7 linked regions of the Rattus norvegicus genome follow. The protein of the gene in region 1 purifies or fractionates together with the protein of each later gene. This does not show direct contact. Links are inferred from orthologs where the notes say so. Each region holds a gene or a part of one and is shown on either strand. Other genes may lie near its edges. The genes, in order: Erbb2, Acsl3, Lrpprc, Timm50, Slc39a7, Vapb and Hsp90b1.

What was found.
Region 2: the proteins of Erbb2 (region 1) and Acsl3 purify together in Homo sapiens (affinity purification with mass spectrometry; 3 studies listed by BioGRID and IntAct, with this or other methods). This does not show direct contact. The link is inferred for Rattus norvegicus from reciprocal best matches to the Homo sapiens genes ERBB2 and ACSL3.
Region 3: the proteins of Erbb2 (region 1) and Lrpprc purify together in Homo sapiens (affinity purification with mass spectrometry; 3 studies listed by BioGRID and IntAct, with this or other methods). This does not show direct contact. The link is inferred for Rattus norvegicus from reciprocal best matches to the Homo sapiens genes ERBB2 and LRPPRC.
Region 4: the proteins of Erbb2 (region 1) and Timm50 purify together in Homo sapiens (affinity purification with mass spectrometry; 3 studies listed by BioGRID and IntAct, with this or other methods). This does not show direct contact. The link is inferred for Rattus norvegicus from reciprocal best matches to the Homo sapiens genes ERBB2 and TIMM50.
Region 5: the proteins of Erbb2 (region 1) and Slc39a7 purify together in Homo sapiens (affinity purification with mass spectrometry; 3 studies listed by BioGRID and IntAct, with this or other methods). This does not show direct contact. The link is inferred for Rattus norvegicus from reciprocal best matches to the Homo sapiens genes ERBB2 and SLC39A7.
Region 6: the proteins of Erbb2 (region 1) and Vapb purify together in Homo sapiens (affinity purification with mass spectrometry; 3 studies listed by BioGRID and IntAct, with this or other methods). This does not show direct contact. The link is inferred for Rattus norvegicus from reciprocal best matches to the Homo sapiens genes ERBB2 and VAPB.
Region 7: the proteins of Erbb2 (region 1) and Hsp90b1 purify together in Homo sapiens (affinity purification with western blotting; 3 studies listed by BioGRID and IntAct, with this or other methods). This does not show direct contact. The link is inferred for Rattus norvegicus from reciprocal best matches to the Homo sapiens genes ERBB2 and HSP90B1.

What each region holds. Positions count from the first base shown.
Region 1 is NC_086028.1:83,906,335-83,910,555, forward strand, and holds the start of Erbb2 (receptor tyrosine-protein kinase erbB-2 precursor), read left to right. Parts: upstream 1-1,266; 5' UTR 1,267-1,371; coding exon 1,372-1,453; intron 1,454-4,221. UniProt on the Homo sapiens protein: Protein tyrosine kinase that is part of several cell surface receptor complexes, but that apparently needs a coreceptor for ligand binding. Essential component of a neuregulin-receptor complex, although neuregulins do not interact with it alone.
Region 2 is NC_086027.1:87,601,539-87,605,196, reverse strand, and holds part of Acsl3 (fatty acid CoA ligase Acsl3), read right to left. Parts: intron 2,958-3,658; coding exon 2,834-2,957; intron 2,626-2,833; coding exon 2,554-2,625; intron 2,277-2,553; coding exon 2,137-2,276; intron 273-2,136; coding exon 100-272; intron 1-99. UniProt on the Homo sapiens protein: Acyl-CoA synthetases (ACSL) activates long-chain fatty acids for both synthesis of cellular lipids, and degradation via beta-oxidation.
Region 3 is NC_086024.1:15,622,608-15,626,265, reverse strand, and holds part of Lrpprc (leucine-rich PPR motif-containing protein, mitochondrial precursor), read right to left. Parts: intron 1,432-3,658; coding exon 1,238-1,431; intron 25-1,237; coding exon 1-24. UniProt on the Homo sapiens protein: May play a role in RNA metabolism in both nuclei and mitochondria. In the nucleus binds to HNRPA1-associated poly(A) mRNAs and is part of nmRNP complexes at late stages of mRNA maturation which are possibly associated with nuclear mRNA export.
Region 4 is NC_086019.1:92,707,408-92,711,558, reverse strand, and holds the start of Timm50 (mitochondrial import inner membrane translocase subunit TIM50), read left to right. Parts: upstream 1-1,247; 5' UTR 1,248-1,275; coding exon 1,276-1,383; intron 1,384-2,398; coding exon 2,399-2,549; intron 2,550-3,013; coding exon 3,014-3,045; intron 3,046-3,230; coding exon 3,231-3,252; intron 3,253-4,151. UniProt on the Homo sapiens protein: Essential component of the TIM23 complex, a complex that mediates the translocation of transit peptide-containing proteins across the mitochondrial inner membrane. Has some phosphatase activity in vitro; however such activity may not be relevant in vivo.
Region 5 is NC_086038.1:4,823,516-4,827,969, reverse strand, and holds the start of Slc39a7 (zinc transporter SLC39A7 precursor), read right to left. Parts: upstream 2,848-4,454; 5' UTR 2,547-2,847; coding exon 2,154-2,546; intron 2,071-2,153; coding exon 1,902-2,070; intron 1,775-1,901; coding exon 1,721-1,774; intron 1,613-1,720; coding exon 1,430-1,612; intron 1,322-1,429; coding exon 1,184-1,321; intron 1,008-1,183; coding exon 811-1,007; intron 330-810; coding exon 57-329; 3' UTR 1-56. Other genes in the region: Rxrb (retinoic acid receptor RXR-beta), read left to right, coding at 3,002-3,530, 4,137-4,354. UniProt on the Homo sapiens protein: Transports Zn(2+) from the endoplasmic reticulum (ER)/Golgi apparatus to the cytosol, playing an essential role in the regulation of cytosolic zinc levels.
Region 6 is NC_086021.1:182,953,028-182,957,195, reverse strand, and holds the start of Vapb (vesicle-associated membrane protein-associated protein B), read right to left. Parts: upstream 2,950-4,168; 5' UTR 2,834-2,949; coding exon 2,776-2,833; intron 2,313-2,775; exon of another isoform or gene 2,230-2,312; coding exon of another isoform or gene 2,172-2,229; intron 1-2,171. UniProt on the Homo sapiens protein: Endoplasmic reticulum (ER)-anchored protein that mediates the formation of contact sites between the ER and endosomes via interaction with FFAT motif-containing proteins such as STARD3 or WDR44.
Region 7 is NC_086025.1:23,009,386-23,013,510, forward strand, and holds the start of Hsp90b1 (endoplasmin precursor), read right to left. Parts: upstream 2,909-4,125; 5' UTR 2,785-2,908; coding exon 2,736-2,784; intron 1,827-2,735; coding exon 1,724-1,826; intron 973-1,723; coding exon 831-972; intron 402-830; coding exon 285-401; intron 1-284.

The sequences.
Region 1 (4,221 bases):
GTCTACCTGAAACTGTGTTTCAGTTCAATGAAAGTAGATTAAGTGAGGGCCACCCTTCATTTCCCACCCCCAAAGACAACTCCGATTGCATTTTGACCAGCACAGGTGTGTCCTTGACTGGAACATTCCAAGTACCATCACCAGATTTAGCAAATAAAAAGGAAGGTTGCAATGAAGTTCAATTTGAATTTCAGATAAACGACGGTAATTCATCCGTGTAAACATGTCTCCTGCCATGTGTTCTTGAAATTTCCAACAAAAGGCATGCCTTTCTTCCCGTTCCTCACCTGTCACCAGGCTTCAGGAGTGGCATCTAGGTATTTCAGGGTTAGATTGGCAGGAGAAAAGGACAGGGACAGAGGAGACGCTGAATGAAACTGAGTACTGTGTGAAGTCATAGAGAAGCAGGCATGGGGCTGGAGAAATGGCTTAGCAGTTCAGAACATGCACTGCACTTGCAGAGGACCCAAGTCCTGTTTCCAGCACCAAAGAGGGCAGCACCCGACTGCCTGTACCTCCAGCTTCGGGGATTCCCACTTCCTCTTCTGACCTACGTGGACAATTGCACTTATGTGACACCCCCCCAACCCACATATGAATACACATAATTTGAAATAAAAATAAGTCTTAAAAAGAGAAAAAAATAAAAAAAAGAAACAGGCGAAGCTGTTCTTCCGAGGACCGAGATCCCCAACCCCATGTGACTGTCTCCTCTTAGTTCTGTGGGTTCCTCTAAGATCAGGCTGGAGATACCCAAAAGTATAGAATTGATATCCCAGAGCGTCCTGGAAGTCACCAGTTAACACAACACATCCTCTTCCCAGGCTGTCGATTTTACCTGAGGATGTGGCGGCAGACCCAGTATTTGATATCAAGAGGGTGATGCAAACGTCCCAGGAGTGTTCAAGATAAAACCGGAGACTGCAAAGACGGGTAAAGGGATGCTGTGCTTTTAGGAAGTGGATGAGAACTGCAAGCAAGCAAGCAAGCAAGCAAGCAAGCAAGCAAGCAAGCAAGCAAGCAAGCTAGGCGTCGGGGCACAGGGCACGGCGCACCCAGGCCTGCGCCGGGAGGGAGAAAGTGAAGCTGGGAGCAGCCACTCCCAGTCTTGCTGGAATGCAGTTGGAGGGGTGGGGGGGCGAGCCGAGAGCGCGCGGCTCCCAATCACGGGCGGAGGAGGAGGTGGAGGAGGAGGGCTGCTCGAGGAAGTGCGGCGTGAAGTTGTGGAGCTGAGATTGCCCGCCGCTGGGGACCCGGAGCCCAGGAGCGCCCCTTCCCAGGCGGCCCCTTCCGGCGCCGCGCCTGTGCCTGCCCTCGCCGCGCCCCGCGCCCGCAGCCTGGTCCAGCCTGAGCCATGGGGCCGGAGCCGCAATGATCATCATGGAGCTGGCGGCCTGGTGCCGCTGGGGGTTCCTCCTCGCCCTCCTGCCCCCCGGAATCGCGGGCACCCAAGGTGGGTCTTGGCTTGGGAAGGGCTCTGGCCGCTGTGGCTGCGCCCACGGGCGGCCGGAGCCGCGGAGCTCCGAGAGCTCTACGGCCGGGAGGTCCGGGGCGATGGGGCGATTCCGGCTGCCGGCACCGCGGCCCGGAGGAGATCGGAGCAGCTGGGGATGGGACAGCCACTCGGAGGACCACACTGGAAGTCCAGACCGGCCCCTTCTGGCCACACCGGAGCTTCCCGGACTCCAGGAGACTCCGGGAACTCCTCGGCAAAGTTCTCTGAAACTGGTCCGAAAGTTTTCCTCCGGAGGGTGTGTGAAGCGCTGTGCGTGCGTGCGCCTGTTTCCCCCTTTCAGAGCCCCTTCACGCTTTCTCAGCTCCTCCAGTTGGCAGCCTCCGCCTCCGGACCGGACTGGGGAGGATGCCTTCGGGGTCCCTTCTGCCCCGCCCCTCCCCCTCCCCACCCCCTTCGGCCCTTTGGGTTTAGTAAGTTACTCCAGCTTCCAGCGGGGTCGCCGTGGAGGGGGCGGTGGGGGAAAGTAACCCGTCCTGTGGAGCAGGGAGGACCGAGTGGCGGGTCCGCGTTGAGTTGCTTCTCTGACGGTGTCTGGGATTTGGGGGAGCAGGGGAGGAGGGGCAGGCATTTGTTTTGAACAGTTTTTCTTTCTCTTTCTTCTGTGCTGGGGATGGGACACCCCCACCCTCCATCCCGGTCTCGCGCGTTAGGCAAGCCCTCTACCACTGGGCTGCATACTCCACAGACCTGTTCTGAACAAATTTCCATAGAGCCAGCTTAAGTACTGTGTGCTTTGGGATTCTGGGAAAGCTCGGCTCTTGAAGGGTGGTCTTGTGTTTTTCCGGCTTCCGTACAGTAAAGTCGGAAGGGTTCCTGGACATTTGCGGGGAGGGCATCGAAAAGAAGTCAGGTCAGCTAAGGGTGGACAGAGAGGTTGTTTTCTTGCCTCTGTCTGTGTGTTGGGGGCTGGGAGGGTGACCCGGCAGTGTGTATACCGACCCATATGTCCAGTTCTACCATAAGCGTAAAAGCCGATAGTCACTCCTTGTGGGTCAGCTCTGCCAGGCTCCGTGGGTGGCGGTTTGCACGCATTCCTTCTTCTGTACTGAGAACAACTCCACAGTGGAAACATTAGTAGCTTTCTCATTGTCCCAGGGTGAAAACCTGGGCTGGGGAAATGAAGTATCATAGAATAAGCGGTGGACCCCAGGCAGTGTGACCAGCCACAGGATATGAGATATGAGTCACAGAAATGCGAGTCTACCAGGACAGTGGGGACACGGCTTCCCTAATCAGTGGGCTGTACTGAAGATGCAGAAAACAGGTTCTGGGAGCAGTAGATGTTTTCCAGAGGCCAGGGAGCCTGGAGGCTGGTGGGGTATCACCATCTATGCCCCGACCTCCGGCCCCCATTCTATCAGTACACCCTGTGCTTTCTGTGGGATACCCCTGTATGTCTGAGGTGTTTATGATGGTTATGTGTTCGTGCGTCCGTCCGGGTTTCTGTTGCCAAATAGCAATCTCTCTGCTGACCTGGGGACACGGGATGAACTCTGCCCTCTCTAGGAACTCCCTCAAGGTTCTGGGCTCTATCTGTTGTAAACACTGGGAGATGCCCCTTGCCTTGTTGGGATTGAAGTCTCCTTTCAGTTTCTCAGGAGGCCAGCCTTCCTTCTGACTTTCCGTTGGGAAGAGTGAGGCTAGGCCCTTGCCCTGAGTTGGGTCTGCTGCTGGCCAGGACTGAACTGCTCTGTGCTGTGGAGCAGGAGGGGGAGGGGTCTGCTCGCCAGACAGAGCGGAGGGCTGCTGAGACGTCATCCCTTCAGATGCACTGCTAGGTGCAGAGGGGTAAGACGGTTTGTCTTGCCAGGAATGGTTTTAAAAAAAAAAAAGAAAGAAAAAAAAAAAAAAGGCAGTGCACCATCCGCTGCCTCGAGCTCCGGGTTCTACCTCAGAACCGGTCTTGGGCAGGTGTATAGGGGAAAGGAGATATGGAGAGGCCCAGAGAGTCAAGATGTTGCTGGGCTTCTATGTACTTAAGGTTTTGCAAAACGCAGTAAACACAGGTCTTTACCTTTGCAAGGCTTATATCTATTTCAATTCTAGTATGATTCTCTCCGAGCCCCTCCTACCTTTTGCTATACAGGGACGAAAGAGATTCCTCTTGCAGAGGAGGACCTGGGGGTCTCTCAGGTCCCAGTTCTCACACGGTGGCTCACGACCACCGGTAACTCCACTACTAGGAGCTTTGATGCTTAATTCTGACCTCCACAGGCGTGATGTGTGTAGTGTTCACACAAGGGCAGGCAAAATACTCACGCACATCCAATAAAACAAACCCTAACAAGAGAAAAGAAAAATATACCGCATTTCAAAACCAAATGGGAAGGTCTTTCTCTTTTCTCCTGTAACTACCCAGATCCTTCTAAGTGCGTCTCTCCCGTTCTAAAAACTTCTGTGTGCTTCCTACACAGCAGATCCCTTTTCGTAGATGGCATTGTGCCCTCTCTGCGCTGTCCTGTGGAGCAGGTGTGTACAGAAAAAAGCTCTACTTCAGAGAAGTGAAGAGACGTATCGGGGGGGCCTTTAGAGGTGGTCAGAGTTGTAGTCATCAAACAGGAATGGACTAGGAAAGCCTCATGGCAGCCGGGCAGTCACACAGAAAAGTGTTCTTCTGTTACTCAGTGTGGCCTTCCTAACCCCTATCCCAGGCTGGAGAAGGTACCCCGAGATGGGGTCCTGGGGTGCCTTCCTGGCTGCAGAGT
Region 2 (3,658 bases), on another chromosome or scaffold:
CCTACTCCAACTCCCCAAGTCTCTGCCGGCCACGTGTCCCACATTAATACCGGGTCCACGTACGTAAGAGCTGCCTGGTTCTCAGATGACAGCACCTACCTTCTGTAATTGTTCCAGCCCCAGTAGATTCTGTGAGTCCATACCCCTGGCCAACGGGACAACAGAAGCAGATATTCATGAATCGCTGTGTCGTTGCAGAAAGTGGAGCACCACCGCACAATAAAACGCGAATATTTCCACCCAGCAGCCTTCGGACATTCCGGAAAACAAAGCTGAAATATCATTAGAAAATTCAAGACGTTTAAAACAGTGTGGTAGTTTGAATGAATGGGCTCAACAAGTTCACACACTTGAATGTTTGGTTCCCAGTTGTTGGAAGGATTAGTAGGTATAGTCCTTTAGGAGGAGGGATGCCGCAAGAGGCAGGCTCTGAGGTTTCTAACACCAGCACCATTCCCACTCTGTCTGCTGCCTATGGATCAGGATGTAAGCTCTCAGCCACCTTGCAGGCCAGCCAGTGCTCCCCACCATGATGGCCTAAGCCCTCTGAAACTAAATGTGTCCAATTGAATGCTTTCTTTTATAAGCTGCCTTAGTTGTGGTGCCTCCTCAGTTTTCTTATATGGCCTGTGAGATTATATATAATCGATGTGATACAGCCCATTGAGGAGCTTCTCTTGGGTCCATATGTCTGTCTTAAGTGTGAGTAGTTCTATCAGCAAAGAAAATGCCATGTACTCTTAATTAATTTCCATGTGATAGTAAATCATATACAATTGTTTCCTGTGGGCAAGTGGACTATAAAACAACACAGAACTGGCAGTGCTGAGTGGGCCCAAACGCATGAACTCAGAATTGAGAAAGGTACGAGTGGGGCCTGCTCCCTGCCACACTCCACCTGCTCTGGATCCCATAAATCAGTCACGTGGGGAAAACACCTCAAGTCCTCCTTCCCCCTGCTAATAGAGCATCACTAGCTTCTCAAACTGAGCCAGTAGGAAGTATCTTGCCCTGGATCCCACCCCACTCCTCAATGTTTATAAAGTCCCTATCCACATGGAGTAAAGTACATGAGTTATTTCACTGAGAATCGTCTGAGAGTGGTTGTTTTACTGAGCTGTTAACACTTTGGAGAAAGTTTTCTCTCGGGAAGCATTCGTCATTGGAACTTAGACACAGCTAGCAAACCAGGCACACATCCCTGTCGTCCCTCCCACTGCTGCCACCTATCATTGCCGACTGCTGCTGCCCCTGCCACTGTGGTACAGGGCAAGACCCGGGACCCCAGCTACCTGCCCTGCACGGGCTTCCCTTCTGAGACCCACAGAACCCCTGGTTTTACAGAGGATGAAAGTTTGTTGTATCAGAAATCCCTTTTTATGATCAGAGAACTCATTACCATACATATTTATGAATACCACATCTTCACATAATTTGTAAAAAGCTAATTTCTGCTTTTATTTATTCACTAGAAATTTATGCATATTTATATATAACAAGCTCTTTAAAGTCTAATGTAAGTTCTGAAGTTTTTATTACAGCTATGGTAAAAAAAATTATATGGTAAATTATGAGAAATAAAAATATCTATTTGATATGTTTCTGTAAAACACTAGTAAAGACATTGCTTATAAGTCAAAAGCAGGTAGTGCTTAGGTTTAATTTAATGTCCAGAACCATGGAAATGAAAACTTGTTAAGCACTATGAAAGGGATTAAGACTCAAGGGCAACCATTTGAGAAGCTGTGTTGAGGCTGACCATGTGGTGGCACGTGCCCCTTCAATCTCTTTGCCACCTAAGCTATCCAGACTCTAATCTTAGCACGCAGAAGGCAGAGGCAGGTGAGTTCTAGCCAGGGAAACTCTCATTGGGGAAGGCGACACTGAGGCCAGGAGGCACTGGTGTCCGACTATCGCTCTCCCTCCACCCATGCTTTTACAGTAAAAGTGAACCAGCTCTCCAGCCTCCAGCTTTGAACTCTGAATCTCCTCCCCTTACTTCCCAACTGCAGGGTTCCAGCCTGCGCTGCATACACACCCATCTTAATGTCTATGTACCACGTGTACTGCTCCACTTCCCTGGGCTGTTGATGGGAACTCTGCTGCCATAGTTTTACTCACAGAGGCTTTACTCACCGGTCACACAGTGGGGTACTACACCCTTTTGAAATCTGCTCCATCTTATAATTATATGCCAAAATAAACAAGTTTCGTTGAAAAGCACTCATTTCATTCACTTTATTCATGACATTTTTGTAGATCCGATCCATGATTTCCTAGGTGCATAAATGAGTTCATTAACTGTATGAGCAAGCTTCACATTTAAATCAGACCCATGTAATTAATACTTCTAATTATTTTATGTGTGTTGTAGGACAACGCATGGCTGTGCCCTGGTGCCTATGTGAAGGTTGAAGGACAATTAATGATATGGACTTGAATCTCTCCTTCCACCTTTACACGGGTTCTAGGCATTGGACTAGGTCCTCAGATTGCACACCAAGCACTTTGTCTTAAATGATGTCACCACCCATCACCTGTGGCAGTTCTTACCGGCACAGCCGCCATCAGCGTGGGCTTCAGAACGGATGTGTCTCCTTTGCTTCCTTTCTTTATTTTTGAAGACTACAGAACAGAAAAAAATAATCTACATAAAGATCTTTAACACATAATGGCATTCTTAGTTCAAAGGCATATATTTACTGTCAGTGTATTTATTTATATTCTAGACATACAGGGCAAGAATTTAAAAGGAATTGAAGATACCATGTAAGCTGATGAAGAAAACATGTTAAAAACACACAGCATTTCACGTCACACATGTGTCACTCACCTGATCTGCTAATGTCTGTGGTGAAGAGTAGCCAATCCGGCATCCATGAGAAAGACACACAAGCTCAGCGCTTAATTCTAGAACATGTGCCAGGGGCAAATATCCAATGTATACATCTTCCTCTCTGAAAGAAAGGCCGATAAGAGCCAAGGTTAAGGTGGAAACGTCTAGCATCTTTGGAAAGTTAGTTATGTCAAATATGTTTTACAGGGTGGGGCACACAGATGAAAGGCTGTCTTACTTAAAAGCAAACACGTGAAAGAGCGTTTTCCTGAAGCAGACACAGGTGAAAGGATATTTGATATAGCGAACACATGGAAGGACCTGTGATGAAGTTGTATATAATAAATATGACCCCACATTAGACAAAAGGAACAAGTACTGAACTTTGATTTGGTTTGCTCTGCCTCACTATTCTTCCTAATGACGTGCATGTTTACCTTACATAGCATTGTTGAGCTCAACTGTGGTAAGGCCACCACTGAGAGAAACTCGCCAGAGAACTGCTTGTGAGGTTCCTGATGCAGCTTGCCACTTCAGTGGCCTCACCTCAGGCCTGTGGACAAGCCTTGTGGTTTTTCCAGGATTCAACTACAGCTTCTGGTTTGTGCCTGGTGTCTGCCTGCTGAGACCTGGACTATGGCTGCCAGTTCATGGGTGGTGTCTGCCTGCCTAGAACTGCTCTGCAGCTGCTGAGTCGTATTTGCTACAGGACTGAACCACTGAGAAAGAAGATCGAGTTCACCCCCAGACAACTACTGCTGAACAGGTCCACTTCCCCCATATCCCAATAACTTTTCTTTTCTACTACCCCTCTGTTGGGTG
Region 3 (3,658 bases), on another chromosome or scaffold:
AGGCCTGGTTACTCCCTGGGCTCCCTGTGCAGAAACAGGTGACGGGTCAGGTGACAGCCCAACAGCTCCGAGGCAACGCCAAAGCTTAATCTGCAGCTTATAAGTGGTTTGCAAATCTTCAGGCTTTTCGAGATCAAGAAGAATATCCCTTAATTATCCACAGCCTCCTGGCTCAACAAAGACAAGGCCGTACCCAAACACCGCCCGATCCACATCATCAGTACACATTACAATTTAAAGTTCTAACAGTGTCTGCTTTAAGAAGCCTAAGGTTATGAAACTTCGTAATCTGTAAAACTAATGAGTCCAAAGAAAGCAAATTTTTAAGCGTATCTGCTACACGCCAAAGGCTAAGCATCTCGGTATCATGAAGATGACAAAAGGCACATAAGGACTCATCATTATCAAACTCAAGCTCATCTCCATGTCCCTGAAAATGACTTTAAGACGAAACAAAAATAAGTGTGCACTGTATAATTCTATCTATAAGTCCATCCAGAGCAAGCGCCTAAGAGGGCAGAAACTAAACATGCACTGTATAGCTCTATCTATAAGTCCATCCAGAGCAAGCACCTAAGAGGGCAGGCAGAAAATAGCTTGTGTGTGCCTAGGACTGGAAAGGGTGAGAAGGGCTGGGGAGGGTGACCATGGAAAAGTTGTGACAGATGAACAGCTCTGAGTGGATGGGAGGTTCTGGTCCTTGAGTGCATGTGACTGTGACTGTCATAGAAGCTCTGCTCCATACCAAAGGGACACCCCTAACAGGCTCTGGGAGTGTATAGAATTTCTTCAACTGCACACAAAATTATACGTGTTGGTTCGCTGCAGTTGTGATGTGAGGGAAAGCCTGGGAATAAAGGGTCTGCAGCTCCTGTCCCACTATCCAAGATCAAAGTGACCTGGTGCCTGTCAGTCTTCACTGAGGTCACCTCAGGAAAAGCTGATACCACACAAAGAAAGAAGAGAAAGCCTGGTGTCTTCTACCTCAGCTGACCACTGAGAGCAACTCTAGAAACCAGAGGAAGCAAACAGACGTTTTTGTTTGTTGACTCTGAAATGAACTCTAAACAAAATATTCTCGTGTTACTTCAAATTCTGCCTGGATGAATTGGAAGCATAGCAGGATCAGAGTCACAGCTGACATCAGAACTGATGCTGAATAGCAAATGATGCTCTCCCCAGTGAGCTTCCAGGAACCGTTACAAGCTTCGACTTCCTACCGAGAAACTCTCAATACCTGAGCGGCACGTGCTCTCAAAGACTTTCTGCAGAAGCCCCTTGGTAATGCGGCCCGTTCTCCGGACAGAATTATCCAGTCTCATTAGGGCCCAATCAAACTGACTGCCACTCCTTCTCACAGGAGCAGGCTCCTCTGGAAGATCCTTTTTTTCAGCGACGATGGCATACAACCTGGCTTGGCTCAGCAGCTCTCTGTGAAATGAAATAGAATTAGTAATAAACTAAGCAAACTGCTGTCTACACAGGCACTGCTTGTGTGACCCGTCCACACCAGCTCCGACAGTCACCACACACAAACTGCAAAGCCTGGAGCAAAGTGTACACTGAAGCAAATCAATCAATCAATCAATCAATCAATCAATCAATCTCTCTCTCTCACACACACATACACACACACACACACACACACACACACACACACAAACACACACACTGCTTCTGAGTGGATTGATAACCTTCAACATGAAGTCATCTCAAACTAAGAAGCTAAAATTATTTTCCCTTAATGAAGGAAAAATGAGGCAGCTCATAACGCACTCTTCTCATTCATGTGAGTGAGACAAAGGCCAAGGCAGCCTCCAAACTCTAAACTACCTTCAGGGTTTTGTCTGGGCATAAGTTTATTATGGCCATAACTTGGTTACGTCATTATGAACATAACTAGGTCCGAGGCACCCGCTTTCATGACTCTGAGTCAACACGCTGTTTGAATGCTTCCCTCGGTCTTTAAAGTAATAACTGTCAAAAATAAAACTGCACTCTGGCTTAAACAGTTTTAAAGATGTCATAAGCTAAAATTAGAATAATACATGTTTCTACAGAATAAGCAATCTTTTTTCTTTTTTCTTTTTTCTTTTTTTTGGAAATAGGAACTCATTCAGTCCAGGCTGGCCTGGAACTTCCAAAAGAACCAACAATAACTTTGAACTTGTAGTTTTCCTGCTTTTCCCTCTGCTGGGCTAGCAGGCCTGCACCACAGTTTACTCGGTGCAGGGATGGGGCCCGTGCTAATGAAGCCCCCAAAAATCTGAGCTACTGATATCTCCAGAAGAAACTCTTTAAATCAATATTTGATAATGCAGCTTAATATACAATTGAATGTTCATAAACATGTTATCAGTGGTGCTTCATGTTATAGGAATTAATGCTGTACTTGATGACAAACCAAGAAAAAAAAAATCCCTAGATGTAAAAATTACTGTCATAAATCTTTGATTTTGACAGGCTTTCTGTGAATTCAATATCTTACCTTTTAACATATGCAATTCTTGGGGATCTACTCCAAATATCTTATTTTCAGCTGCCATTGTTATACTAAGTATTATGCCTAAAAATGTTAACTCAAGAAATACTTCCAGAATAACCACATTCTCTGGATTGTAGACCACCTTTTACCAGCGGTGGTGAGCTAAGTGCGTAAGTCAGTAATGGAGCACTCGCTTAGTGTGCAAAAGGCCCTAGGTCTGATCTCACTGTCCCCAAAGCCACCGTTTTCCTGCATCACAAACTGACTGTATGTGAAGTGGCATCAAAAGCTGTGTCACATGCAAACCAGAGTCTGTAACTAATACTGTTGTAGAAATTACACCAGTGACCAGAGACAATCACAACACCTGACCATCATATATACAGAAATAAATCAGAAACTATGGGGGTGGGGAGGGATATCGCCAAGTAAGGTGATATCCTCTGCACATCATGTGCACGAGTGAGAGTGAGAGAGTGAGAGAATGAGAGAGTGTGAGAGAGTGAGAGAGAGAGAGAGAGAGGGAGGGAGAGGTGGGTGTTATCACCCACAGACCAGAGAAGATGCATATTGCCCCCTATGGTTATCCATTACTATAATAATCATCAAAAACTACTGATAACTCAGAACACGTGCACTGATTCATACAATGCAGAACTTTTTGCGCAGTAGAGGTGAACTTGCTGACTTCTATGCCACTCAAATCAGATGACTATTGATGAGCACACCCACGACTTCTTTTTACATCCTGGCTGCAGTTTACCCATTTCCCCTCCCTCCTCTCCTAGTCCCCGCCTCCCGTAACTCCCCCATCACACCTGTTTCTCTTCAGGAGAGGGCGGGCTAGATATTCTCCAGCCTCTGGCATACCAAGTTGCAGTAAGACTAGCACCTCCTCTTCTCTTAGAGCTAGAAAAGGCAGCCCAGTAGGAGGAAAGGGTTCCAAAGGCAGCAGGCGACAGCAGAGACAGCCCCTGCTCCCACTGTTAGGAGTCCCACGGGAAGACCAAGCTATACAACTGCAACGTATGTGTGGAGGGCCGAGGGCAATGCCATGCAGTCCCTGGTTAATGGAGCTTTAAATGATAGTATACATTACCACCACCACCACTGCCGCCACCACCACCTCCACCACCACCACAGTCCAGGGCTTCCCATATGCAAAGGAAACAC
Region 4 (4,151 bases), on another chromosome or scaffold:
GAGGGGATGTGGAGGTAAAGTTTTGAGCAGAGACTGAAGGAATGGCCATTCAGAGCCTGCCCCACATGTGGCCCATATATATATACAGCCACCAAAACTAGGTAAGATTGATGAAGCTAAAAAGTGCATGCTGACAGGGACCAGATATAGATCTCTCCTGAGAGACACATCCAGAGCATGTCCAATATAGAGGTCAATGCTAGCAGCAAACCACTGAACTAAGAACAGGACCCCCTTTGGGGGAATTAGAGGAAGGATTGAAAGAGCTGAAGGAGTTTGCAACCCCATAAAAACAACAACGCCAACCAACCAGAGCTTCCAGGGACTAAACCACTACCCAAAGGCTCTACATGGACTGACCCAGGGCTCCAACTGCATATGTAGCAGAGAATAGTCTTGTTGGGGCACCAGTGGAAAGGAAGCCCTTGGTCCTGCCAAGGTTGGACCACCAGTGCAGGGGAATGTCAGAGGGGGGACCCATATAGGGGAGGGGAAGAGGATGGGGGCTTATGAACAGGAAACCGGGAAAGGGAATAACATTTGAAATGTAAATGAAGAAATGTATCTAATTTTAAAAATTAAAAAAAAAAAAAGAGTACTCTGCTCTTCCAGAGGGCCTGACTTCAATCTTTAAAGAGATATGATGCTCTCTTCTGGCACGCAGGAGTACACGCAGACTGTGCACTCATTTAAAATGAATGAATGAACGAATGGATGAGTGAATAAATGAGTGAGTGAGTGAATGAATGAATCAATCAATAGAAAACAACGTACCCCAAGTTCACTGCTTTCTTAATCACTCTCAAACCTCAAACTAGTCAGCACGGAAAGTTGCTTTGGTTGAATCCAGATGATTGGTAGATCTCCAGTCCTTTCTAGAAACTCACGGCGGAAGGGGTAAAAAGAGACGCGAAAGGAGACCGACTCAACCTCCTAGTCCACGTGAGAAAAATTGAGGGCTGCCAGTTAGCCCATTTTTTGGGCCTCTGTCCATATCTGACAATGGAAGGTGAATGCCAAAGTCCGAGCGACTGGATGGTGGCCGTCCTTAGGGTCCCAGGGGGCGTGGTACCAGATGACAGTATTCCAATTTCGCGCTCGGGGATAGCCTGAAAAAAACCGACTAGGAGAGCACCTAAGGTACTCCGCCCACTCCTTTTTGTCCCTGTCGGGCTCCTGTCCACACGCACCACCTCAGCGATCCCATTGGTCGTAGTCCTCTCCTGGGCGGGAGAGAGGGAGCGAGTGGGCGGGGCCGCGTGGCGTCAGCGCAAGATGGCGGCCTCGGCAGCTCTCTTCTCGCGCTTGCGGAGCGGGCTCCGGGTAGGCGCGCGGGGACTGTGCACGCGGCTGGCGCCGCCACCTCCCCGCACTCCAGAACAGGTAAGTGGCGCCGGAACCTGCGCCCCGTTATGGGGCTCTTTTCTAAAGTTTTGGGCGTATGGTCGCAACCCGGCGAGTCTGGAGTACCGCACCTCAGGGTGCTGAGTGGGACGGAGCCGGTGTTTTCGATGTTTCCATGCTTCCTGTGTGGACCGTAGTTGCTCCCCAAGGGCTGGATTATGGAAGCCCCCAAGTGCATCCCGTGGAGCCCAAGTCTCAACCACGTGGGTGCCGGGAGAGGTCACCTGTTCTGTTATCAGTGACCATTCAGGTGATACTTGACGGGGGAGGGGCCCAGGACGCCAGAGACCCGGGCTCTGTCCCAGTGACATTTCATTCGCAACAGTGAGCGAGAGAAACAGGAAGGATCCAGTCTGCCGTCCGTTTCGACCCAGCCATTCTGACCTCCAAGTTCATGACTTTCCGTTCCCTAAGTCCAGACAAGGGATAGCCTCTCCTCGCCCCTGCTTCCTTCCCTTTCAAACCCTCCATCTTGGGCTCTGGGTGTCCGAATATCTCAGCTGTTCGTCCTGTCCCATGGGTGTCCTCTGTCCTCTTAGTTTTGACATCCCCAGCTAACACGTACATACACACACACACACCCATCCCTTATTCTCCTTGCCCTACTCTTCCTGGCTCCAGACTTTGCAGCCCTATTGGTTCCAAGACCTTGGGCAATCTGACCTTTCAGCTCTTGAACCCCTGTGATTCTCTAGACAGTTTAGTTTTTTTTTTTTTTGTTTTGTTTTGTTTTGTTTTGTTTTGTTTTTTTTCGGAGCTGGGGACGAACCCAGGGCCTTTCGCATGCTAGGCAAGCGCTCTACCGCTGAGCTAAATCCCCAACCCGACAGTTTAGTTTTAACCCTCTGAGGGGATCAACCTCTGAACTTACAGTTTTCTGCTCTGGGTGTCCACTTCCTGGCTCTTGATCTTGAGTCTACTTGGACCAAATTTAGTGTCAGAGTATTCTGTTATTTTTCTTTCTATGACTTCTCCTCCTTCCCCCTCCACTCAGGTTACTGAGATCGCCAACCGTGGGGGCTCCAAGACCCAAGGGCCACAGCATCAGCCAGGCTCAGAGGGTCCCAGCTATGCCAAAAAAGTTGCACTGTGGATTGCTGGTTTGCTTGGGGCTGGTGGGACTGTCAGCATCGTCTACATTTTTGGTAAGAGACATAACCCTCAATTGTTGGCCCCAGATATCTACTGTGAAACTCCCTTTTCTTTCTTCATGCTGAGTTCATTCCCTGACTCCTCCCTCAATAAGGCCATCAACTAGGATACTCACCTTGAAATTCAAGAAGTCCCCTTCTATCCCTATCCTCTAGTCGTTCCCTGTACCTGAATTCAGGAACTAAGGGGACGGCGGGAAGAATAGGACAAGGGAGAAATAACTATCATGGTGCCTGAAGCTATGTGTTCATCTCAGCAGAAAAAACTAACCCTTGTGTATCCTTCTTAGCCTCAGCCCACTTGGAATCCTTGCCTCCACCTCTTCCTCCTTTAATCCAGGAGCTGTGCCTCTAGTAATATTCCCTTTGAGTGGGGAGTTCAGACCCCCTATTCTCCCCCTCCAGACCGAGCAGACTAGGCTCCAGTTTCTTTATTTGTCTCTGTCCCTCCCTTGCAGGAAACAACCCCGTGGATGAAAATGGCACCAAGGTGAGGAGGAGTGTGTTCTGTAAGGGTGTGGACAGGTTCCTTTCCGTTGGTTCAAGCTCTTCTGTAGTCTGGAGGGAGCATCTCCCTTCTCCTGGGACCTTTGTCTACTTAGCCTTGAGCTCCCAGAGTGGATGTGCTGGTGTCCTGCCTCTGCCATTTCAAACCTTTCCTTTTTCCTCCCCCAGATTCCTGATGAATTCGACAGCGGTGAGTGATTAAACAAAGATCTGGGGTTCACACCTCTGCTATTTTATTTGTTTAGAGTGCTATTGCCCTGTCCTGTACACCAACCCCTCCTCCGCCTATGGAGGTGCAACAGTTAGATGGCTCAGGGAAGGGATGACAAAAGCCCCAGCTCCCTTTCCTGGCCCCTCCGCCCTGGAGCAGATGGTCAGGAACAGATGGGGGCAGGGAGCGTCATCAGTCCATCCCAGACACAGGCTTTCTTTGCCTTAGATCTAGACATCTGCAGCCCCTGACCCCACTCTTTTATAACACCCTCTTTTTTTTTAATCCCTAAGTCCCTACTCCAACACATGCGTCCTTTCCAAAACAATGTCTATGTCTATGCCTCTGCCCCTGCTTCTCCACCCTTCCACCCAGACTGAGCAGAGTTTGTCAAGGAACTTCTGATAAGTTAGATGGGGAGTAGTTGTAGTTTTTACCTGACCATTCCCTAGGTGGGTCAGAAAGGGCTGTGTTTGGGTGGAAGGTGTGCAGACAGCATGGACAGGCACTGATGGCTTTGTTTACACACGGCAGATGGGTGAGTCTGCCCTTTTAACTGGACAGGGGTCAGCCCCCTTGTTTTATTTATTTTTTTTCCTGTTTGTTTTTGAGACAGGGTATCTCTATGTAGCCCTGGCTGTCCTGGAGCTCACTGTGTAGACCAGGCTAATCCCAAGCCCACACAGCTCCACTTGTCTCTTCTCCCAGTTGTTGGGATTAAAGGCCTGAACTACCATGCCGGGCTCCCCACTGGTTTAAACAAATGATCTAAACTGGGCAGGTAGACATGGGAGGTTAAAGCATGTCAACTGGTTTAAACTGGCTCCAATGGTGTGACTATAAGAGGCAGGCTCACGGATAGAGCTAGATATTATTTC
Region 5 (4,454 bases), on another chromosome or scaffold:
CCAGGGTCCCAACTGCCTTTATTTTGGAGTTAGGGGTAGGACAGGTCACCCACCCCTCACTCAAGATGGGCAATCAGTACCATCATGGCAACGCCCCCCAGCAGCCCCAGCACCTCCAAGAGAGACTGTAACGGGGATGCCTCTCTCAGTAGCTCAGGTAGCACGGACACTGTTGCCACATAGATGAATCCACCTGCAGTGAATGGCAGAACCCAGCCGGGACCTGCACCACCAGCCACCTCACTGCCCACTGCCCCTCCCTCAGTGAGAAGGGCACAGGCTGTGCCTGCCAATGCTCCAATTGCAGTCAAGAGTTGCAGACGCATCGCCTGGAGGGCAGAAAGGAGAAAGACAGGATCATCAACAACTAAAGGTTGGGGGACCAGTGGGGTACAGCTGTGTGGTGTCCATGTAAGGATAGGAGACAGAAAGTGAGGTGGGGAGATGGACCCATTGTAGTATCTGCTGCACAAACACCAGGGCAGGAGTCTGGGCCCCAGGCACCAGCACAGGAAGCAGAGGCAAGCAGCTGCCTGGGGCTCCCTGGCTAGTTAACATGTCAGCAATGAGACTGCCTCAGGACCACACCCAAGGCCCCCAGCCCCATACCAGCCTGGTAAAAATAAAGGGTCGAGGAGGGGGTACTAGAACAGACATCTCCTGAGAAACTGTAGGCCATCAGAGGCCCTTTCCAGGCTGTACTTATGGGAGGGTTGAGATTCGGAGATAGAGAAGCAACTTTCCCGGGTTCTAAAAGGCTGGATGGTAGTGTAGCTCGTGAGGAACCAATGGCAGGCTGTCAGCACCAACCTGTTTCTTGCTGCAGCCAGACTGGACCAAGATGGCAAAGTCCCCAACCTCATGAGGCACTTCATGCAGCAGGACTGTCATCGTGGTCAGGATCCCAAGCCCTCGGCCCCCACGGAAGGAAGCACCAATGGCCAGCCCGTCTGTGAAGTTGTGTGCCAAGTCAGCAGCCAGATTCAGGTACCCAGACACACGCAGGTCTTTTTGTAAATAGACAAAGGACAAAAATGACTGAAGGTGTCATCACCACCAGTCCTCGAGCTGTTTCGTGCATGCTCACACACGCATGCACACTCCATTTCCTAGAGCCCCACCGTCACCCACAGCAAACACTCTGAGAAACTCAGAGTAGTAAGCCCATCAACTCATCCCTTACCTGAGCCTGTTTTTTCTTCTTCAGGGTTCTGAGGTTTCAGAGGGCCATCTCTGGGCCCCGTGTCTCCTCCTCTCCTTTTCCGCAAGCCCCCTGCTTCCTTTTCATCCTCTGAACTGGGCTTTCCCTTTGAAGGACACTCTGAGGGGGACAGGAGTTGATCAGAGTGGGGAACAGAGCTTTTTCCGTGTCCTGCTCCAGCGGATGAGCCTGAGCGTGTTGTGTAGCAGGCAATGGGGGTGGGCTCACCATGCCTATCCCCGTGTGCGTGGCTGTGTCCGTGCGCGTGGCTGTCTCCGTGCGAGTGTCCGTGTCCGTGCGCGTGCGCGTGTCCGTGCCCTCCTTTCACGTGTCTCACAAACTTCTCCACCACAAGAAAGGCGACAATCCCACTGAGAACCCACAGCCCCACAGAGAGAATGGGGCCCTGGCCTGGGATGGAGGAATGAGGCATGAGGGCGATGCAGACTCAGATATAAGTGCTGAAGGAAGGGAAGAGGCAGGCCTCTCCCAGCGTCCCAGTCCCTAACTCTTTCTCACCGCTGTGGGAGTGTCCGTGGCCAGGCTGTGCCGGAGTATCGTGCGAATGAGGTTCTACAGGAAGAAGGGAAAAAGGACAGATGGGGGATGTGTACTTGAGAACTATTGGGAGACCTGGGATCATTAAAGAGGACGAACAAAACAGCTTGTGTTTCTGAGATGGAGCCCACATGTCACTTACCCAAGGCGTGAGGGATGAGGTGGAGGAAGGCATCTCCCAGGAGCCCCCCAGAAGCAAAACTGAGCAGGATCTGGAGCAGAGAACGATGCCTGGGAGAGTTTGACTCCACAGGGATGAGGAAGAGCACGAAGAAGGGAGCCGCGGAGATTAGCACTGTGGCCCCCAGTGCCTGGAGGAGAGTCAGAAAGCAAATATGGAGTCTTCCAACAATTAAGCACCAGTCCCTCTTCCCCACGTCCCCCGGGGACTCACATAGGCCCAGAGGGTGACAGTGTCCAGGTGGTGCTTGATGCCTGGAGCCCCAGCCTCCCTAGAGGCTCCATGGCTATGTCCATGTCCTCTGTGGTGGAGGCTATCGTGGGAGTGGCCATGGCTATGGCCATGGTGCACATCCTCCCGTGAATGTCCATGGTCGTGGCTGTGGGCATGCCCATGCCAGATGCTCTCATGAGTGTGGCCATGGCCATGGCTGTGGCCATGGTGGAAATCTTCATGTGAGTGTCCGTGGCTGTGGCCATGGAAGTCCTCTTCCACGTCTCTGTGCAGGTCACCATGACCCTCGTGTCCGGCTACCAGCAGCCCCAAAGCTGCCCAGGTCAGCAGTCCCACAGCCACCCAGTGGGGGTCCCGCAGGACCCTGGCCATCACGCTGACCAGAGGAACAGAGACGAGTCTACTTGACTCTCTACCTATGCGGGATCCGCTTCCCTTGAAGCCCTTCCGTCCACTCTATACCACTTGCTCCCCTCTTACATTGTTCCCAAGGCCAGTTCTCTTCATCCCCGACACCCTTCCTGGATGCAGCTCCCCCAAACCTCCCACCCCCCAACACCGCTCTAGCCTTTGATCCGCAACTTTACGGTCTCTCTGGGCCCTCGTCTCTATGGCTCAGTAGTTAGGGTAAAAGCATGGAAAGCGCCGTAAGGGAGCAGCAGGGAGTTCTCACCGGCTCCGGGATCCTCTCCGTTCTCGGTTTGCTGGGACGTGGCACTCGCGCCTCAAGCTCCCGCGAGATCCGGAAGTTCCCTCTTGCCTGCGCCCCGCTACCTTTACCAACATGGCGGCGCCCCGAGGACGGCGCGGCCACGGCCCCAGGGCGCATGCGCGCACCCGGGGGTTATCTGAGGGGACGGCGGGCGAAGTGGCTGACAGGCCGGCGGAGACCGCCTCCTCCGTTTCCATCTCGGCGAGGGGGCGGGAGCTCGAGGCGAGACTTCCCGTCTATACAAAGATGGCGGCCGCGTCGGTGCTGTCACCTCGGTGCCGAGCCGAGCGCGGCGCTTGAGTCGCGCTGCCACAGGCCGGAGCCCGCCCTCCTCGGCGGCTTCCTCGCGCTCCCTGAGTCCCCCGCTCTGCCCCCTGCGCGTCCCTGGCGCCTCTCCGGCTCCCCCACCCTCGGCCCCGGCGTCATGTCTTGGGCCACTCGTCCGCCCTTCCTCCCGCCGCGGCATGCCGCGGGGCAGTGTGGGCCGGTGGGGGTGAGAAAAGAGATGCATTGTGGGGTCGCGTCCCGGTGGCGGCGGCGGCGGCCCTGGCTGGATCCCGCGGCGGCGGCGGCCGGAGAGCAGCAAACCCTGGAGCCGGAGCCGGGGGAGGCTGGCCGGGACGGGATGGGCGACAGCGGGCGGGGTGAGTGTCCCGTGGGCCCGGGCCGGCGCCCCTCGCGCCCCCTCCCCGCTCTCCCGCCCCCTTGTTTGTAAACACGCGCCCTCTCCATCCCGAGGCCCAGCGCCCTCCCCCGGGGCGGGGCGCGGCGGGGGAGCTTCCGCCCTCCAGGTGCGGCGCCGCGGGGCCAGTGTGTGCGGTCTCGGGCGTGGGAAGGACACCATTCCCCTTGGGCTGGAGGACTCTGGGCTTTGGAAGGCTGAGCTTGCGCTCTGGGACTGGGTATATCTTCCATACTCTTCGCCCCGAATGTTCTAAGTTGGGAACGAGGGGTTCACTGGTGCACCTCCACGTGCTTCTTGACACCCCCCTCCCGAGGTCAGCTTGGGATGACCCAATAGGCTCCGCCTGAACTGCCTCCCTTTTTTTTTTTTTTTTTTTTTGTCAACCGCCTCCTCTCCCAGCTTTTAGGAGTGAAATTGTTTGATGACTTGGTGTTTCTGAACTCTGGGGTTGTGGGCTGTGGTGGATCGGGGAGAATTAAAAGTGTCCATTTGGGTGATCGAGAGACTCAACTTTCTCTTCTTGTCTCTCCTGTCTGTGTGTCTGTCTTATGTACCCACTTCTCAGATTCCCGAAGCCCAGACAGCTCCTCCCCAAATCCCCTTTCCCAGGGGATCCCTCCCTCTTCTCCTCCCGGTCCACCTCACACCCCTTCAGCACCTCCACCTCCAATGCCACCCCCTCCACTGGGCTCCCCCTTCCCAGTCATCAGTTCTTCCATGGGGTCTCCTGGCTTGCCCCCTCCGGCTCCCCCAGGATTCTCCGGGCCTGTCAGCAGCCCTCAGGTGAGAAGTTGTGACACTTTCAATTCCTTGTTCTCAGCTTCTTACCCCCACCCCCACGCCCCATCTTTGGGTGAACTTCCCCATAACCCGTTGACTGTTC
Region 6 (4,168 bases), on another chromosome or scaffold:
TTGTAAATGTCATTCATTTAGACGAACCTCAGAAATCAGAGTCATCATTCTGGATAACATGAAGGAGCCCAGTTAAATCTGAAGGTTCTCACCCTCAAATGAATTCCCTTAACACAAAGAGCCAATTTACTGGGCCTCTCATTTTACCACCTCAGCACTCAGCTTAAAGCAAACAAACCAAGAAACTGAACACCCCAGTTGGGATTGGTGGTGCCACATACAATCCCAGCACCAGGGAGTTATGGCAGGAAAACCACTCGCTCCATACTGGCCTGAAAGCTTAGTGAGACTTCATCTGCAAGGCAAAGGCTCCACACTAATACATGGCTGGCACTCACAAGAAACACCCCCCAACCCCCATCAAGTTTCCACACATCCCTGGACGACTCTTCCAGAGTGAAGACATTCGGACACTAAACCCCTGGACTATCTCCTTGGCAACCAGTGATGTTGGCTGGAGAAGTGTCACCTTCTTAGCACCACCACCGACCCAAAGGTAAGAGGGCAAATGGCACCCTAGGTCACACACACTGAATTGGAAGAGCTGGAACACTCTCCTCCTTCAGAGGCAGTAGTGTATGGGGGCTTGGGGTATCAAGATCAGTCAAGTCATTACACCCAGTGGGTGTGTAGACCTGACACTGTGTACTAGCCAGTCTGGCCCTCTACTCTGACCCGCAACTCCTAACCACAGCATCTCCAAGAAGCAAGTACTCCGGCTTATAGACCTCCATGCACAGTACTGGCCAGGCCCGGACACTCCCACCCACTTCCCCCTTTCTGCCACTGGACCTTTGTAACCAGATTCAATGATACTCTGTCACCTCCCATTCCCTGGGAAGTTGTTTCCCCACACTCTCTAGTCTGGGTCACCTCATCTGCCCCCTTTTTCCCTGGATGCAAAGGAAAGGTGGGTGTCGGAGAACAGCAGCCGAGAAAACCAACTGACATGACAGCCCCTCCCTAAATTGAAAATATGTCTACGTAAAAGTGGATTCAACCTACTTGACTTTTCTGAACATCACCACTGATCTCAACATGCTCCAGACTTACATCAGCCTACAGGCCCACAGAACCCTATAGCACAAAGTCCATCTGATCCCAACAGGCTATCCAAAGATGTGTTAAACCAGCAATACCAGCAACGGGGAAGCAGAGACAGAAGGATCATGTCAGCCTGAGTGGACCTCAGACGGTGAGAACTACAGATCTCAAAGAGAAGGCCAGTGCGACAGTCGGCAGACAAAAGCACTGCTATGCCAGACGCCTGCGAATTGTCTTCTGACCTCCACACACTCACTGTGACACACATACCCCTCACACACACGATACATAAACACACAATAAATAAAAACACACGCCGAAGAGCTTCCGTGCATGTGCACCCCCCACCACAGAGATGGACACTCTGTAGACATGAGGGGATGCAAACACAAAACAATTATGCAGAGGTACAGTGATAACCAGATGGCGGCGGTTCACGGCTGTGCGGTCATGCACAGGTCCATAACCTGGAAAAGGATCAGAATTCAAATTCCCAAACAGTTGCTACCAAAGGCACACCACTTTCCTGTCACTACCAAGTGGGATTCCTGGTAAGTGGGGGAGGGGGGGACCTCTGGTGCGGAGGATCCACATTTAAACGGATGCTTTTATTTAAAATCTGTTGTGTACGTGTCTGTGTGTTTGTTCACAAGCCTGCTAGGCTGCACCTGCTGGGGGTAAGAGGACAACATGCAGAAGTCAGTTCTCTCTTTTGACCATGTGAGTCTCAGGGATTGAACTAAAGTCCTCAGCCTGGGCAGCAGGAGCTTTTAAATGGTGAACCATCTCTACAGCCCAGGGTCAGGCGGCCTGAGGTTTGTGTTTCTAGGTTAACCGGAGGGCCTTTGCTTCCTTGTAAGTGTCTTTGCACACTCTGAACCTGGAAGGCAAGGTGGACATTCACAGCTATGAAGCATTTCCCAAGAGTTTGTGGGTACGATGGCTAAAAGTGTTTGAAAGTCCGAAATCAGGACTCAAAGGCGACGACTAGGTAAGAGCTGTGATCCTACGCTACTTCCCAACGGCAGAGAAACGGGTGACTCTCAGCCACCCAAAACCGTGAGCACCAGCTGTGGCCTACATGTAGGCAATACACAGAGGATCACATTGGCCAACCTGAAGCACACCTCCATTGAGTCCAACTTCATCCTTCCCTTCCCAGTACTTCCAGCCGCCTGCCGCCATCTTGCTTAGGTTGTTGAGCTTTATAGGCCTCCAGTGCCCAGTCTCATGACTCAAAATATGCAACGAAGCAAGGAACAGGCTGGGCACGGACCCTGTTGCTTTCTGGACCTTAAAATTAGTGAATAGAAATATGAATACACACATACACACACACTTCTGTGTGTATATACACATATATAGTACATGTATGTATACACACTATCTATAACATGCATATGCCATGCATACACATCTGTATAAATGCACTTTTTTAGTCACCTGTGCACGCCTGCGTGTATAAAGTTCACCTTTACACACAAATGTATACAAAAAGTGTACTACATAGAAAGTATGCACAGACTTCGTGGGCTGTAGACCCCCGACAGCTCGCTGCCCCGGGGGAGCTGAGGAGAAGAGTACTCAGGCCGATTCCATGCACTGACTCCACATGCATGCATTAGGCGCCTGGTGCATGCCGGCCTCAGGCGGACAGTGTCCTGCCCTCAGGGCGCGTCCCTTCCGGAGCCGGCCGCTGAGTGACAGCTCCCGGGTCGGCCGCCCGCTTACCTCGGAACTTGAGCTCGTGCTGTGGCTCGAGACTCAGGACCTGCTCCACCTTCGCCATGGTCCTCCCCGTCGGGGGCGGCGGCGCGGGCGGGGGGCGGCGGCCTGGGTGGCGGGGCACAGGGGCGGAGGGCGAGGCCGCGGTGCCGGGCGAGCTCACGGCACGCACGCACGTATGTACGCACGCCCCGACGCACGCACGTACGCACGCACGTAGCAGCTGCCGGGCTCCGGCAGTGGCCAGAGGCTACAGCGGCAAAATGAAGACTGCGCATGCGCACGGTTTTCTGGGCCACTGCGCAGGCGCAGCCGGGAGGTTGAGGGCGGAGCCTCCGTGGCAGTGGGCGTGGTCTCTCGAGGCTTGGGAGGAGGGGGCGGTCTCCAGCTAGACTGTTCAGTAAGCGCCTGTGGGGAAAACTGTTGTTAAGTGCTTTACTTAATAATAATAATTAACAAGAATAAACTTCCACTTTCTTCACGCACGTGTGGTGCCAGGCTCTACTGAGCCTGAATATAATAAAGTACTTATTATTCTTACAAACACAATGTTTACTTACGGGTTAGTGATATGTGCCAGGCCTTGTGACAGTTCATAAATAACAATTATAAAATATAATAAACTGGCAATTACTGTTTGCTTATTTCGTGCCACTCTGCTGAATGCTTTCAGTAACTGTCATAAATAAAAGCTACTCTGCATTCAGTGTTTACCAAACCACAGAGCACTACACCGAACCGTTTGCTGATAGCATTATTTGTTTATGCAAGAAATATTCAGAAATACAATAACCAGAAAACGACCCGCTTCAGACCTTGCTAGGACCTCACTGAGAGAATAAATTAGTTACACACATAAATCTCATTAAAAGTGTCTGGGAGCCTAGCTCAGTCTAATGCCCAAAATAAGCCCTGTATGCTCTTATTAGCGTGTGACTAGTATTTCATTGTGTAAACATATACTATGTAAAACAGACCCTAATAGCATCCTCATCAGACATTCGTATATGGGGTAAATATGGCTCTATATGGCAGGAATATCCATGTTGTTCATGAATTTCCCATGTTCTATATACCTGAGCTCGTTTTCCCAGTAAAAGTTTTCAAGGGGTAGTCTCTGTCTTTTAGCTTGTGCATCTAGTCCATTTATACTTATTATATTTGCTGTTGTACCCAGATTTATTTCTGCCACCTTATGTTGTTTCTCCCATTGGATGTACTGTTTCTTTGCCTCTCATTTCTTGCTCTTCAAGATTGGTTTTTCCTCTCAATCTGTTCTCTCCGTGTGTGTTCTGTTACTGCTGCTTCAGTGCTTTAACTTTTTAATGCGTGTAATGCTTTATGAAAGCCTAGCTTTTATGACATTTGTGTTCTGCTGTCTTGAAGTTGAAGGGCTGCA
Region 7 (4,125 bases), on another chromosome or scaffold:
TTTTCCTAAAGGACTAGGTAGTATCTATTTTTGGCTTTAGGAGCCATAAGGTCCCGTCAGTGATTACTGCCATTGTAGACAAAAGAATTTGTACTATAAAACTAGGTATGACTTCCAATAAACCTAATAAAAAACAGGCCAAGTCAGTTTGACTCACAGGTAGCCTGTGGACTTCCATCCAAACCCACGGTGAGCAGAAGCTCCTTTCACACCAGAATAACCTACTGATGCGGTGCCTGGTTTCTGAGTATCAGTTTTTAAAAGGAAACAGTTTTTTAAGTCACCTTAATCTTGACCGTCAACTCCTCATTTCCAGCAAGTGCATTTTCATCAGTTAGTGAGATGAGCCTTATCTTGTCTAAAGCATCAGAAGCATTTGAAATCAGTTCTCTCAGGAAAATCTAAAAGGAAGAAGCCAGATTTAATGAAGTGGGACTAACCTCCAGGCACAGTAAGGTGTTGGTTCTTATGGCCAACTCCTCTCCTTTCTCCTCAGAAGCATGAAAAGGCACTCTTTAAGAACCAAGCCTTTTCTAGTGCCAGGGATGGCTTTACTCTCTTCATAAAAAAGGAGGCGTGACTCTATAAAGCTCTGTGGCAAGTACAAGGGATATCTGAAGCGGTGGGAACAGGACTACCTCTCCCACCCCCTCAGTGGTACAGCTGTGTGACTCCACCTCAGCCAGCACGTCATAACCTTATTCTGAGCTGAAAGGAAAGCTGGGGACATTGTCTACTCCCTTCCCACCCCAATATGTACCAGTAGCAATTCTCATTCATAATCTACCACAAAAGGAGCAGAGCTGCTGTCCTAACCGTGTGATGCTTACCTCTTTATTTTTATACAAAGAATTGATGATAAGTTTCATCATCCTGTTAACTTCAGCTTGGAAGGCGAACTTTTCCGATTTTTCTCTAAGTTCCCTTATTTGTGATGCATTTAAACCATCCAACTGAATAGCTTCTTCCTCTCTAAGGAAATCAAAATAGATAAGCAAATACTTAGTTTCATTTTTCTAAGTCTCTACTCAGGATACACCTTTGTAAAAGACCACTAACATACCAGCTCACTCTTACACAGAAATGGGTGCTATACTTAATGCTGGGCTGCAAAGATTTACAAAAATTCCCAGAAATACACACCCAGCTCCCATCTACTGAAAAGCAAGTCATGATTCGTGTATGCCTATGCAGTGAACACTTTGATCAAAATTTAAAACACACCTCACCCAGTGAAAAGCCCCTTTCTTAAAAAAAGTTACAGGCATAAGTTCTATTTTTCATAGTACTAACTTCACGAAAATAAAAACCAATCTGAAGTCTTCTGTCAGGTCTTAGAGGCCTACAACTTCGTCATCGGTTTTCTGATTTTGGATGCCGAGGCTTATTCCTAGCACCTCCTTCAACTTTCCTTCTTCTTTTTTTTTTTCTTCCCCCCGGAGCTGGGGACCAAACCCAGGGCCTTGCAAGCGCTCTACCACTGAGCTAAATCCCCAACCCCACAACTTTCCTTCTTGAATCAGTAGTCACTCCTAGGAGCAGACTGACCTAGGAGAGTTCTGCATGCAGATAAATGGGCCCTCCTAAGAACTCCCTGGTTATTTTGTATCATTAGCAACATTTCACACACTGCACATTGTAATCTCAATGTCTGGAGAACAAAAACAGCCAATGTGTCCCACTAACTTGCAGAGTTTATCAGCATAGTTTCAAATGCACTGACCTCTGCACAACTTCATCGTCTGTCCGTGAGCCTTCTCTACTTTTACCCAGGTCCTCTTCTACCGTGCCATCCACATCGACTTCATCGTCAGCTCTCACAAACCCTGAGGAGAAAGGTTAAAACTCTCAATACTACTGCTTCCTCTCCTTCCCATATACAGACAGACCAAGCAGGGCAAGAGGGAGGGTTAACACAATTCAGCGACGTGATGGAAAAATGATGTATTGACGTTAGTAACCAATGTCAAGGCATGTTTGCGCGCTGAAGTTTAAATGTGAATGCTCAAGACTCCCCCGTTGACTCTGGAAGGCCAGGCAGCCATCACTCATGTCTATCGTTCCTTAGACACAAGGCAGTGAGTGATACAGGCTCCCGTCTACACCCACACGTGTTGCGCACAGCCGAGAGCAGGCCTCCACACAGGCCAAGCCAAAACTTGGGCCTCGCTTAACTATCACAGGTCGGAATGCAAACAGGGTTTGTGCAACTTCTGTTGAGGGGAACTGAAATCCGGCCCAAAGGGGAAGACATGTCAAGGACCGCGCTTGAAGCACATCGGAATCGGATACTGGGCCACCGCCACCAAGCTGGCCCGAGGGCCCACGCTCGCGAGTCGGGCGTTAGAAAACAGAAACACGCTCTGGAAGAACCAGAGGGCAGGGGCTAGGGGTCCTCAGGCTCGGGTGGCCAAAGGTCGGACCTGATGACAAAAGTCCTTAGGGAGGGGCCCCAGCAAGGTTTCCCCCGTGAGTAGAGTCCGAGAGGCCGCGCCCCGCCAGCGAGACTTCGGGGAGCGCTCCAGCTCCATCCGCAGAGTATTTAAATACCGCGGCTCCAAGTCTCCTCTTCCCAGAGGCCTCAGGGCAAGGCATCATCACCCGAGTCCCCTTCGAGGAAAGGACATAGTGCCTGGACCCTCTGTAGCCCCCGGCATCCCCCTCCCAGGCTCAACGCCCCAAGAACGTTCGAGAAGCGGCCGCGCAGGAAGGTGGGGGGGCGCCCGATCACTCACCGAAGGTCAGCAGGACGCAGCAGAGGCCCAGCACCCACAGGACCCTCATGGTGCGTGGCCGGAGAGTCGCAAGTCCTTTTCGGTCGCAGGAGCCGCCTCCACCCCCCCAACCCGGAGTCTCAGGTCCTCACACCTCCAGCAGCGCGGTCCGCCCACTAAACCGCGCGCAGGTCGGGCCGCTTTTCACCCCACAGCTTGCGGGCGGGGGACGGGAAACACGAACCCACCAATCGTGCCTCACCACGCACTCTCTGCACCCAATGGGGACGCATGGGGGGGACCGCAACTCGCCAATCGGAACTGTCCAGGTGCGGTGCCCGATGCCCGAAGCGTGGCTCCTTTCGATTGGGTTTGTCCAGCAGCTTTTCTCCAATCAAATGGCTCCGCGGGCCCCTCACACACCGGGCCACCCCTTGGCCTGGGAAGCCTTGGTCTCTGAGGAAAACCGTCCAATGAATGTAGGCGCATAGCACGTCTGTCCTTTCCTAGAGGTCCCGGGGAACCACTTCCGGCTCTTAGAGAACGTTTGTTCCGTGACTAGGGGAAACCGTAGCCAAGACAATGTGGTTTATACCCTTTTCCCGTCTACGACGTGGGTCACGTTACGAGCCCTTTCAGCGCTACGTTCGCCGTCACCTTTCTTTTGGGCGTTTCTTTTCGCAAAAGAGAAATTTGTGAGGGGTTGAATATCCGGAGTGCGTTTGGATGGTGGTGAGAAACTACAGTTTCCGGCATGCAACGCGCTAGTCTCAAGAATGCTGGGAATTGTAGTCTCTGGCGTCTAAGCCAGTTGCGTAGTTTGGCCCTTGCGCTTACTCTGGTCTTGTGTCCGCGGGAAATGTCTCCTGAGTGATTTAGATTTCCACCTAATTCGGATTGCAGAATAGATCTATGCTTGTTCTAGGACTCTAATGCACACAATTTTCAGAGGCGGCTTTGGAAAGTCGCCCCGCGTGGCCCTAGTCTCGCCGTGTCAGAGGGCCAGCTACGGATTCTGGGCTCCGCCTCTGGCTGATGGTAGCACGCCGGTTTCCAGGTCGGCTTTCTAGCGCGTCATTCAGGTTTTCACTTGGCGTTGCGCTGCCCGCAACTCCAGACCTCTCTGGTTTGATTTGCAGTAGAGGGTGGTGGGGGTTCACCAACCCCCAAGGAAACTCCAAGAACCCAAGTTCCTTTGACATCCCCATTAAATATCAAGGAATGACCTGGCAATCTAGAGTCCCTCTTGTGATTCGGCTGGAGAGCACGGTGGTGAAGTCCAGGCTAGCATAGAACAGGAAAGGACATTTGCAGATACTTGAAAGCAAAAGCCGCAGTGCTTGCAAAATAGCCTGGATTGTGGCTTTGTAACTTCATAGAAACACCTTTCCGCCTTCCGACAGACAGCAAG